Linked DNA regions of Caenorhabditis elegans. The protein of the gene in region 3 interacts with the protein of the main gene of each other region in a pairwise test. Each region holds a gene or a part of one and is shown on either strand. Other genes may lie near its edges. The genes, in order: C05C12.4, ftn-1 and ZK856.11.

Region 1 (4,113 bases), on a different chromosome or scaffold from region 3:
AGATTTTATGGGCACGTTGAAACAGTCGAAATATTTCTATAGAAATAAGAAAATTTAAATACCATGGAAAAAATTCAAAATAGATAAAATAAAATTCAGAACTGATCTGTTGTACACTTTAACTAAAAGTTCCCATCATAACTATCAAATTTTGAAAAAAAATTAAAAAGTGAAGCAGGATCTTCGTTGCGTCCAAATTCTTCGTTCTTCTGCACAACTTCCTTTTCTTCCGACTATTTTGTTTTGCTTTTCAAAATTCTCGGGTGAAGTCGCAAAAGATATGACATAAAAATTCCCCTTGAGTATAGTTGACGTGTTCGGTTTTAACCCAAAATACTTGGACTTTTTTCTGGTTTAGGATGCATATTAAGACTTCAAAAATCGAAAAGCTCGTGCTCTTTCTTTGTTAAACAAGTCTAGAAAGATCGAAAATCATTTAGAATTGAAATATTTTGATCTTTTAACAAGTTTCTGAAATACCATTTTCCTACGTCTTACACTATAGTGAAGGAAATTTAATTTTTCGTGCTTTGAGTCAAGTATATGTGGTAAGTTCTTTTGTTTCAGTTTTTATTAATAATTGACAGTTAACAGGTTTAAACTTTAATGACAATGCCGATGATGTAGATGAAGGTGTTAAATGGTGATTGACTTTTTCCACATTTGGTTGGTACAAAAAAAATGATCAAAAACTTTTTTTTTAGAGAAATTCTCACTTAAATATGAAGGCAAGGTCTGTGAATTTTCTGTTCAATTTTTGTTTCTTTCAGACTAATTGTGCCATCATCAACTTCAGAAATTTCTGAAAACTTTGTTTGCATTGAAAGTGTTTCCACATCGAAGTGCTCTTTCGTGGATTTTTCTGATAATTCCTGAAAATTTATCGTTTTTTGATAAATTGAAAATTTAAACTTACAAGATTTGTTAAATTTCTTGATTTCAAAGGATAAAAATCATAATTTTGGTTTATGAATCCATTTGATTCTCCATTTTTCCTCAATTTGCAGTTTGCATGCTGTTTCTGCTGTTTTTTCGTGAATCTCCAAGCCATTTCCAATATTATTGCGAATAATACAAGTATTACTAGACGACGATATTCCCAGAACTTTAAAATCAAATAATTTCCTGAAATGTTTAGAATCACTTACTATTTTACATGACTTCGATCCAACAACTTTGAAAAATGAATCGGATTTATTGTAGACGACTTCAAAGAATTTTTGGGATTGTTTGATAGTTTTCCAGTATGTTGTAACTGTATTTTCCATTATTAATTCACAAGTTTCTCCTCGGAATCCGGGTGGACAAGTGCAAATCCAAAATTTTAGAATTAAAAGAAATTACTTCATTCAAAGAAAAAACTACCTTCACAATATTCTTCTTTGATGCTGCACATCTCCATTGTAAATCGTAATCATTTTCAATTTCATCCGAGCAACTTAAAATTTAAACATGTTGAATTCTTAAAAAAGCATAGTATTTATTCCGTTAAACCGCAAATTGTGACATCATGGTTTGTAGTTTTAACGTCACTTTTGTCAAGTGATCCAGCGCACAGTATTTATTGAACAATGAAATAATTTGAAAATTCAACTTTTTCTAATAGAGTAGTTATCTCTTTTGAATGAGTAAAATATAAAACATGAAAAGTAAACAAGCAAATTAAGATACTTACAGTTTCAGAAATATTTGAGTCAGGTTTTTATGTGTCTATGTATTTAATATGGTTGCCTCTCAAAATAACAAATACTGCATCAACACTAAAAAAATGGTACACAACTTTTTCTTATCATTCGATTTATTCCTTATAGTCACTACAAATTAATTTTTCAGTTTCATTCACTTTCGCAACGTAATATAATAACTATTATCTTTTTTTTAACTCACATGTCTTCTCTTAATTCTCCAATTACACAATCAAATATTTCGAAGCATGAGGGTCCATAATATCCATATTTACAGGGACAAAATCCTAAATTTTTTTCGTTCTCTTCAAATATTGTTCCTGGTTCGTAACAATCATCTGGTTCTGAATTTTTATAGTTTTATTAAAATTCAATAAAAATCTGAATACCGAATTCTTTGCTTTCTAACAGTTGTAATACCGAAAGTAGAATAATAATGCTTCCAATTGTATTTTTTACATTTTTTTGTTGAAACATTATTTTTTTTCAAATCATACAGTATATCTGAAAAAAAAAGGAAATCATTAGAAATGGAGCATCATATTTTTCAAGGGGTTTGGAAAGTGTTTGTTGCAACCTTGAGAAAGTGAGCATCAAATACCAGATCACAAAAAACTGTTTGTGTGTGGATTGACTCATCCGTTGATTTTTACTTCGGTAAACAACGAACAACTAGCAGACATCAGTTTTCGAGGATTTCAGTAACGGCATGAGAATTACAAAAATTTCCTTCTTCTTTTCGAATGGATTGACGTCACAAGAATTTTACTGGGAAACGTCTGTAGAAAATCATTCGTGACGTCAGACCATACAAAAATGAATTGGGAATACAAAAACTGTGAGTTGGAGACTGAGGAAAATGAAGAATGATGAGGTGTTATCAGTGTACAACTATTTTATGGTTTAATCAGTTTTCCTCTTTAGTCTTCTGACATTATTCAAAGGAATAAAAAATATAAACAATTAGCAAAGGTTTTTTTGTTAACTAAATTTTTCAAACTGCCCTGAAACTGTGTGTGTTCAGAAATTCTTTTATTCAAAAATAAGTTTTATTTGGAAGATTCAATATTTATTTTCCCAGAATTATTATGGATTGATCTTCAAACTGCTGTTCACAACTGTTCAACTGTTCAAAAGTGTTGCTTCTAATGAACCAAATGACATATCTGCGAATGCTGCTTATATGCAAATGTTTATTTCCATTTCCTCGAGTTTTTGTTGTAATTCTAAATGTACGATTTCAAACGTTTTGCGAAGCGAAATTATCATATTACGACAAAAAAAATGCTCTTATCAGTTTTTCCCAATGACAAAAGAACCAGTTTATATTTCTGTCATTGAAATCATCATTATATACATGGCAAAATAGTCCCCACTAATAGAAAATTTAATTAAATTAAAAGCATTAAAAATTATTAGGGCTCATGTTTATTCATAGTCACTATCATCTCTTTGATATCTCGAGTCCTGTAAAATTAGATTTTTAAAAGTTTGTTTTGAATTAATTTCAACCAACATTTTCCCCAAAAAAAGACCCATCCGCTGGCTGAACTGGTGTCATTGGCATTGGAACTGGACTGTCCTGAAACAAAAAAACAGTTTTAAACAAGAAGAAGCCCACTAACAGCATAAAAATCATCTTCAGTTTCAATTGCATCTGCAATGGTTGAGTAGAGAGCATGTCGACGCGGGCCACGTGGCAAACTGAAACATTCAATTATTCTCGTGAAGTTAAAAATTTAAAGTTCCCTAGAAATATGTCAATTCCCTTACTTAATACTAGTAGGTGGTGCATCTTCTCTTGTGATCAAATCATCTTCCGATAAATCAGACTTATCACTTTCTGTGACTTGACGAACTCTCATTTGTGGAACAGGAATGCTTATCGAAACTTCTTCCGTTGCTGACTCAGCAGCTGATTCATCTTGATCTGAAAAATATTTGTTTTAATTATTTAGATTGGAATATTTTTCTTACTTAACAACTCATAGTTTGCGGAAACGGATTGACTGAATATAACATTAAATTTCTCGGTAAAACATTTGGAAAGTCCAAATGAGCTTGTTCGAGAACATGGAATAATTGGAATAGATGATACTAGTTTATAAAGGGAAAGAACCAAAAAATAGACAAGCCAGTCAGGTTGTATTATTATATTTATATATATTCGAAAAGAATATCAAGTTTTTCAAAAGAAAACTAAAATTTGAGTTTTTGAAAAATTTTTACATGTATTAACTTTGAATTATTAATGTGTATTCCCAGTTTGAACTATAAGTCAACAAACCTTCCATGAGATTGAACTGAATTGATGGAATCTTTGGTTGCTCTAAAGAAGATCTTCGATTTTCAGTTATTTTCTTTTTTGCTTGCAATGAATCTCTCTTCAGATACTGTCCCGATGTTCTTCTAGAGCCGATTGGACTAG
Region 2 (3,434 bases), 2.7 Mb from region 3:
GCAACGTTCACTCTCTCTCTGCTGGTCTTCTTCAGCTGAGCAACAGGAGCATTTTTTGAAATATCATAAAATATTTTACTAACAATACATTCTGGAATCATTCCTGATATCGTTTCTGTTCCGTGTGTATTTTAAGAAATTAAGGTATCATTCAAGTAGAACGCATATACCTTATTTCCTCTATTAGTCTTGCAACCCTACGGTCCAATCGAAAATTAGTCTTGCATGCAAGACTAATAGAGGAAATATGGTAAGTACCATTTCTGTATTACAAGTAGATGGAGCACAAATAGGTAGATGTTGAGAAATATGCGAAATAAGTTCTGGACTACACGAAACTGTCAATTGTTATCGTTCGTTTTCATATAAGTCCAACGGCAAGATGGAGAATCAGAAACTACTGAAAATACAATCGAAAAAGTTGGTGTAAGCCGTGAAAACCAGAAGAAAATGCGCTGATCGCTATTTATGCGAAGTCTCTTGATATTCCTCGCGTGCGCGAATGGCCACACGGAAAGGTGATGGGCCAGTAATCAATCGACAGGCAGTGGACAAGTTCAACCCCGGCTGAGGCAGATAGAATTGCTACAACGAAGGATCACCGGAAGACGGTCTGGAGGAAGACCGGAGCTTGGAGCATTGGGAAAGAAAAAGGGGGCAGCTGGAGGGTGAAAAAATTTTCCCATTTTTTAGTCTCCTTACGGTTCAATTACGGTCCGTTGACGGACCGGGAATCGAACCGTGAACTGTTCTTTAATTTGAGCCGTTCCCGGTCCGTGAACGGACCGTTTTGGGCACTTTCCGCTTTGCCTGTGAAAAAACAGTTCCACTGAAAAGTGTTTTTTTGTAATTTTTGATACTTGTTCAAGTTATTAAATGGTCTGCTCAGTTTTCAGTGTTTTTTTTTTGAATTTCGCTTTAACCTGAACCATCCTAATTCAAAAGTATCAATATTCTGACGCAATATTTAAATTTTTTTTGTTAAACTATATCACTTTTTCCATCCAACTTTTGACTGTCAACAGCTCACGTAGCCAATGATAAGAGCGGCACGTACCGTTTGTTATCACTAAATTTTGATGCACGTAGCCAAAATAAATGCTAATCAACATGTCTTAGGGCAGCTCATGTGATGCCGAGACAACCATACATCAACGTTAAGAAAGTGTAGATCATCATTTGATGAGAATTGGGTTTTGTTTGGATCAGGAAAAACCGGAACTTTTTATTTCAGAATTTAGGGCGTTCACTGGAAACGTTCTAACAATACTGGTATAATTTATCTCCCAAAAAACACTTTTCAAGTTTATAACCTATATCTAAGTTTAAAAATTTTGAGTACAGGACAAGTATGAGTTTACGAAGCATCATATTAAAATCAAAATGTAATGTGAATGTGGACGCTAGAAAGCCAGGCGAAAAGGGACATCACACTTCTGCAAAAAGTTATTTTCATTCGGCGATCCTTGGATGTAGTTTTCTTACAGAAGGTTAAGCTTCTCAAAATGTACTTCAACACTTAGGTTTCCATATTAGTTCATTGAAACGCATGTTTCTGTAAACAAGAACCCTTTCGTTGCCAATATGTAATGTGCAAAAATCATAATCAGTTTATCAATGATCACAATCACAAACTCCGCCCCCAGAGTTGTCCAGTTTAAAAACACCCACAGTCCCGGACACGTAATCAAGTCATTATATTTTCTGCCAAGTAAATCGTCATGTCTCTAGCTCGTCAAAACTATCACGATGAAGTCGAAGCGGCCGTCAATAAACAGGTATGATCATTGTTTTGACAAATGGGAAAAATATATTAGGAAGGTTGGAAATTGAGAAGAGATTTAGAAAAAGAGAGGATGTGTCGTGAGAAAATTAATCACTGATGTCTGGTTACTTTAAATTAGGAATTTAACTGATTAATAAAAACATTGAAACACACCACACGCTTATTTTTCCAACCGGCAACATTTTGTTTTTTTTTAACGAACAAGGGCAGGCAGACAGTACCTGAAGAAGCGCAATTTGATCATGGCAGCGTCGATGATTTCTTTGCTCTTATGCCAGTCATCCAAAAAAAATATACAGAATAGGCGGCAGTAGATAGACGAGCACGTGAGACTGAAAGCGTCTACAATAAAAATCCTATCTGAGCTTGCTTTTGAACTGGACGAAATTAACACTGAAATGCTTTTAAAATTAGAAGTATTACTCAATTAAAAGCTTAAATTACCTTTCCAGATTAACGTAGAACTCTACGCCTCCTATGTCTATCTATCGATGTCTGCACACTTCGATCGTGATGATATCGCACTTCGGAACATTGCCAAATTTTTCAAGGAGCAATCGGATGAGGAGCGTGGCCATGCCACAGAGCTCATGAGAATTCAAGCTGTCCGTGGAGGACGTGTTGCCATGCAGAACATTCAGAAGCCAGAGAAAGACGAGTGGGGAACTGTCCTTGAAGCATTTGAAGCCGCACTTGCTCTAGAGAGAGCCAATAATGCATCTTTGTTGAAGCTTCATGGAATCGCCGAACAACGCAATGACGCGCACTTGACAAATTACATTCAGGAGAAGTATTTGGAAGAGCAGGTTGGCATTTTCAGTTTAAACTCCTATTTTTATAACGTTTATTAAGGTACATTCGATCAATGAATTTGCTCGCTACATTGCAAATATCAAGAGAGCCGGCCCAGGACTCGGAGAATATTTGTTCGACAAAGAGGAATTTTCTGATTAATAATTTTTATTTGATGTATTTATTGTACATATGGATGAAATTGTATATTTACTGAAATGAAACACATTGAAAACTTCAGAGATTAGCAGTTCCTAAAAAGGTTCAACCTTTTTTCAACCTTTGTGGCGGAAATCTGAGACACATAAGGTGTTTTTTAAATGTTTATTTGGAAAAACCGTTAGTATATGGAATTAATACAATATAAGGGAAATATTTTGTATTGAAGCTTACAAGAAGCTTTCATTGTTTACAGCGCCATGTGGAATTCTACGTTTTCAGATGTTTTCCCAAAAACAACATAATATATTTGTTCTGGGTATATCAAAAGATTTCCAAAAAAATTATTTCTAATTTTCAAAAAATATCTCTATCGATGTGGAAAGTGTTGTAGAACTTAAAAAAGTTTCTGTATACTTTCAGACAGAATTTTTGTTTTCAATGGCATTTTTTGAATGTTTTCATAACCAACGTGGCTCAATAATGTTTTTGAAATGCACTTATGTACATTTTTGTTCTTAATTATATTTTCAAAACAGCTTCATTTCTTTAAATAATGTGTATATTTAAAAAAAAACCAAAATTGATTAATTTGCATGTTTGAAGTTCGTTAAAATATCTCTAAAAATATATGGATAGAATTTTGGTAATTATTACGCTTCAACTGGAGGTTTACTCAAACCAAATTTTGAATTTT
Region 3 (3,820 bases):
AATGTTTTTTTATTATTTTTATGATAAAAAGAAATACGCAACAAACCTTTTTTATCAAGTGATAAAAATCGGCTGTAGAGTCGGACAATTTGATTTCTGTTAACTGAAAGTAACATTGATCATCTAATTTTCACCAAGTTAAGAACATTAAAAATAATTGTATTTATTATCTAAACTCACATTCTGTTTCACTCATTATTTCCTCAATCTCCTCATCTCGTAACATTAAAGAACTGCTGTTTCCCATTTCGTAACACTGAAAATTCAGTTCTATCAGTTTTGAGAGAAAAGTTTCTGAAGAATGGAAACCAAGAAGTGAGCGTGTGAAGTTACACCCACGAATGAACAGTTTTGCATAATCTGGCAAAGAAATAGTCAGAATTCTTCAAAAACTGTAAACAAATAACCGAACAAAACAACAAAACATTTCTGGTCTACAGAGATGATTTTGGAGATAATACAGGCAGGTACTATTGAGATATGGCGTAGTATCGATTAGCCACAATCTATTGAAAACATGGATAACGAGAGAAGAGAGAACTATCGATTTTCAAAGCAACTGTCTTATCTTTATGAAATGGACGCGATCATGCCACGGAGAGGCAGCAGGCGCATAAACAGGAAAGTAAAGGCGGTTGGAAGTGAAAGAACATGATAACAAAAATAACAGTAATGTAACAAAAACACGGGAAACGCCAATTTAAAGTGGGTAGGGAAAGCAACTTGAAAACTGCTTATTCATTTCGAAGGTGCCTGCATTCGGTTTGGATTATACGTGTCGAATTCTTCTTCCTCTTCGTCATCAACGTCATCTTCATCGTATGTCTCCTCCCCTTCTGATTCGTCCTCTTCTTCGCTTTCACTGAAATAACGATATTATTCTTCAAGAAAATAAAATTTTCGTGAGGCGAGTGACGTCATTATTGTATTTTTGATGATTATAAAATGTACCTAGTGCGTTCCCGTATATTGTTCTTTCGCATCTCCTCATATAATTCGTAGCTAGTTTGTAATAACGACTGTCGTAATGAAGCGTATACATTACAACAGAAAGGATTGACCGATCAAATAGATCATGGAATTAAATGACCTGTATTGCAAAAAAATCGTACCTTGGTGGAAGCATGTCGTCATCGATCATTTTATCCGATGTTTGACCACGCTTAGCTTCTCGAGTCATTTTTAGAGCGTTTTCTTCGAAACAAGTAGGCCATTTGCCGAGTTCGCGAATGTATAAAACATTGTCCTGATCCAAAATGTACTCGATTTCTCCTTTCACCTTAAAACCACATAAAATACTTTTCGTTAATATTTTTTGTCTTACTTTGTCTCCTTCTGTGATTGGCCGAACAACGACAAACTGATCACGCCGAAGCCATACTGATTTTCTAAACTTTGTGGGCATCGATACAACATAGCTGTCACCATTTTGATCGAGAACTTCATGCAAATTGTTACCACGCGATTGTCGGACTTGTGCAATTATGTCTTCATCAACAAGCTCGTAAAACTCGCTTCCAACCTGAAACAAAAATTTAATTCAGAACACGAAAACTTAAAATCTTACTTTGTTGGTAATGTATCTCTTTTTGGTAGCAGCAGACATGATTTCAGGTTTAAAAAAAATTGAGTTTTAAGTTGGGAAGTATACGATTAATGTATCACTTCTTCTACTTATACGCATAAACTGGAGAAAAGGCCCGAAACCTGCAAAACTGAAATTAGAACAGAAGACGAGTTACGAGACGAAAAGAAAAATAAATGCAGTATTAAATACTACTGCGAGCATAAATTTTTTCTCGTGAAAATTAAGAGAAAAAACATCAAAAATGCATTAAATAAAGAACACATTCAGAGAACGAATAAAAATTAAATAAAAATTTTCGACATAAAGTTACGATGCGTGTCAACAACCATTGCTGGCGCATTTCTCTTTCTTGGCGCATACTCGATATGTCGATTTACGGTAGGCTACCGTGAAATGAACTTTGGGCAAAATATGGAAGAAATGCTTGATTAAATTATTTATTCACATTTGAAAATAGAAAATGGTGTCAGAGATGTTTTTAGAAGCACTTGATAGTTATTAAAACTCAAGTAGAAGAATCCATGGCCGTATCCGTACTCGATGAGGATTGAGTCGGCATCGGAATGCTTGGACAAGATGGAATGATTACATTGTCAAAATCAGAAGAGCACGCTGTGAAGGATGTCGGATATTTTTGTGTTTCGAGTTGCGATATCAAGCTGGTTCCACGGAAGACTGGCAGTGGGACGTTGTTCGAATGGTACTGTTGACTACTGGTGGGCGCAGCTGAGCTTTTAAGCATAAGGTTACGAGTTTTTTCGCTCATGTTTCTGAAACCATTCTGAAATTAAAATATCAGGCCGCCTTTGGAAGTACTTGTATAAATCATGAGACAAACATAATGATTGGATAATCGATCTTTGCAAGCTATCTTTATATTTATTTTGCAAGACGAAAAAATAACAACTTATTCAACAATAACAAAAAGTAAAAACAGTGTACCCGTTATAATCAATTAAAATTTGATTAAACTGGCTCTTCTTTAATTTTAACAGGCTGTCTAACTTCTTCTTGAGGCTGTCTAATTTCTTCTTTGGGCTGTATAACTTCTTCTTGTTCATCTTGCTCGTCTTCAACCGCTTCATCATCTTCATCTTCTGCTGCCCACCATCCAATACATCCCAATCCAGTACTAGCCATCGTACCTTTGATTTCCATAGATTTCTCTGTTTTTCTCTCTTCGTGTGTTAACTCTGGTTTGAGATCTCTGCAAACAAATCAATATTTTAATTTCGATGAAATACAAAATGTCTCACTTGAAAATGATTTCCGTCACTCGGAATCTCACAATCTTCCCTGGATCCATATACAGTTTTGCTGGTGGTTCTCCATCTTCCTGTGCATATTCCCAATACCAAACTTGCCCTTCTTCTTCGAAAACATGAGGTTCTGGAAGCTTTTCCGCCGGTACAAAAATGTCTTCGAAGAATTGAATTGTTAGACAAAGACCTTGTCGTGATGAACCAATCACTTTGGCCTCAATAACTTCATCGACAAATGGCCGAAAAACGATCATACGGAACTGAAGATTTATTTCATTTCTCAAATACGACTGTACATTGATTTATTACCTTAACTCTCGCTCTACAATCTCCTTCGCCGGGTAAAATGTACGAATCACCAATTTCATTTATATCATAGACACAAATACAGAGACCAAGATCCGGAATAATTTTGTTGGCGAGACGTTCATTGAGCCGTTTTTTGATAACAATTTGCTGATCAGAGCTCAATTGATGAGGCTGAATAGCCACCGTATCGTGCAGTAGAGAAAGAATGAACATACTGTAAATATTAAACATTTTCCTTTTATACGGCATCAGTATCAGCAGATATTGAATGGAAGCTTGAACTATATTCTCAGAACCAAATATAATGAAATAAAAATAATAAAAAAGAAAATTTATAAGTAATTGTTTAAAAAAGTACGATGGGATTGCTACTTATAAATTAGACCACACAATGTCAGACATTGGATAGATTAACAAAAATTATTCTTCAACAAAAAATCAAACAACAAGATATTTTTCATAAATTTTCCTAGCGGCGAAATTGTTTCCTGATGTTCGGTAGATTAAAGCCAGGTTGTGAGCAGCCATCTTTCTCAGGTCATATCTGAAATTTTAATAGTATTTCTACAGACAGAAATTTCTAATTTATTTTTAAAATTGTCTTACTTCATTGCTGGAATAATAACCTCATTGCCATCTTCATCAAAATCAAACACACACG

The links.
Region 1: the proteins of ZK856.11 (region 3) and C05C12.4 interact in a two-hybrid assay, tested with the Caenorhabditis elegans proteins (one large-scale study listed by BioGRID).
Region 2: the proteins of ZK856.11 (region 3) and ftn-1 interact in a two-hybrid assay, tested with the Caenorhabditis elegans proteins (one large-scale study listed by BioGRID).

The regions. Positions count from the first base shown.
Region 1 is NC_003282.8:11,245,891-11,250,003, forward strand, and holds C05C12.4 (EGF-like domain-containing protein), read right to left. Parts: upstream 2,192-4,113; 5' UTR 2,163-2,191; coding exon 2,075-2,162; intron 2,030-2,074; coding exon 1,888-2,029; intron 1,439-1,887; coding exon 1,366-1,438; intron 1,317-1,365; coding exon 1,149-1,316; intron 1,106-1,148; coding exon 917-1,105; intron 873-916; coding exon 717-872; 3' UTR 561-716; downstream 1-560. Other genes in the region: gtl-1 (TRPM SLOG domain-containing protein), read right to left, coding at 3,114-3,152, 3,202-3,267, 3,311-3,389, 3,459-3,615, 3,973-4,113.
Region 2 is NC_003283.11:7,545,851-7,549,284, reverse strand, and holds ftn-1 (Ferritin), read left to right. Parts: upstream 1-1,705; 5' UTR 1,706-1,721; coding exon 1,722-1,778; intron 1,779-2,238; coding exon 2,239-2,592; intron 2,593-2,638; coding exon 2,639-2,740; 3' UTR 2,741-2,817; downstream 2,818-3,434.
Region 3 is NC_003283.11:10,203,230-10,207,049, forward strand, and holds ZK856.11 (putative RNA-binding protein EIF1AD), read right to left. Parts: upstream 1,710-3,820; 5' UTR 1,685-1,709; coding exon of another isoform or gene 1,634-1,684; 5' UTR 1,607-1,633; coding exon 1,568-1,606; intron 1,523-1,567; coding exon 1,325-1,522; intron 1,280-1,324; coding exon 1,113-1,279; intron 863-1,112; coding exon 739-862; 3' UTR 542-738; downstream 1-541. Other genes in the region: chpf-1 (EF-hand domain-containing protein), read right to left, coding at 47-103, 181-247; ZK856.16 (Ovule protein), read right to left, coding at 2,094-2,354; rpc-25 (DNA-directed RNA polymerase III subunit RPC8), read right to left, coding at 2,555-2,795, 2,845-3,110, 3,160-3,372; tftc-3 (TPR_REGION domain-containing protein), read right to left, coding at 3,598-3,703, 3,766-3,820.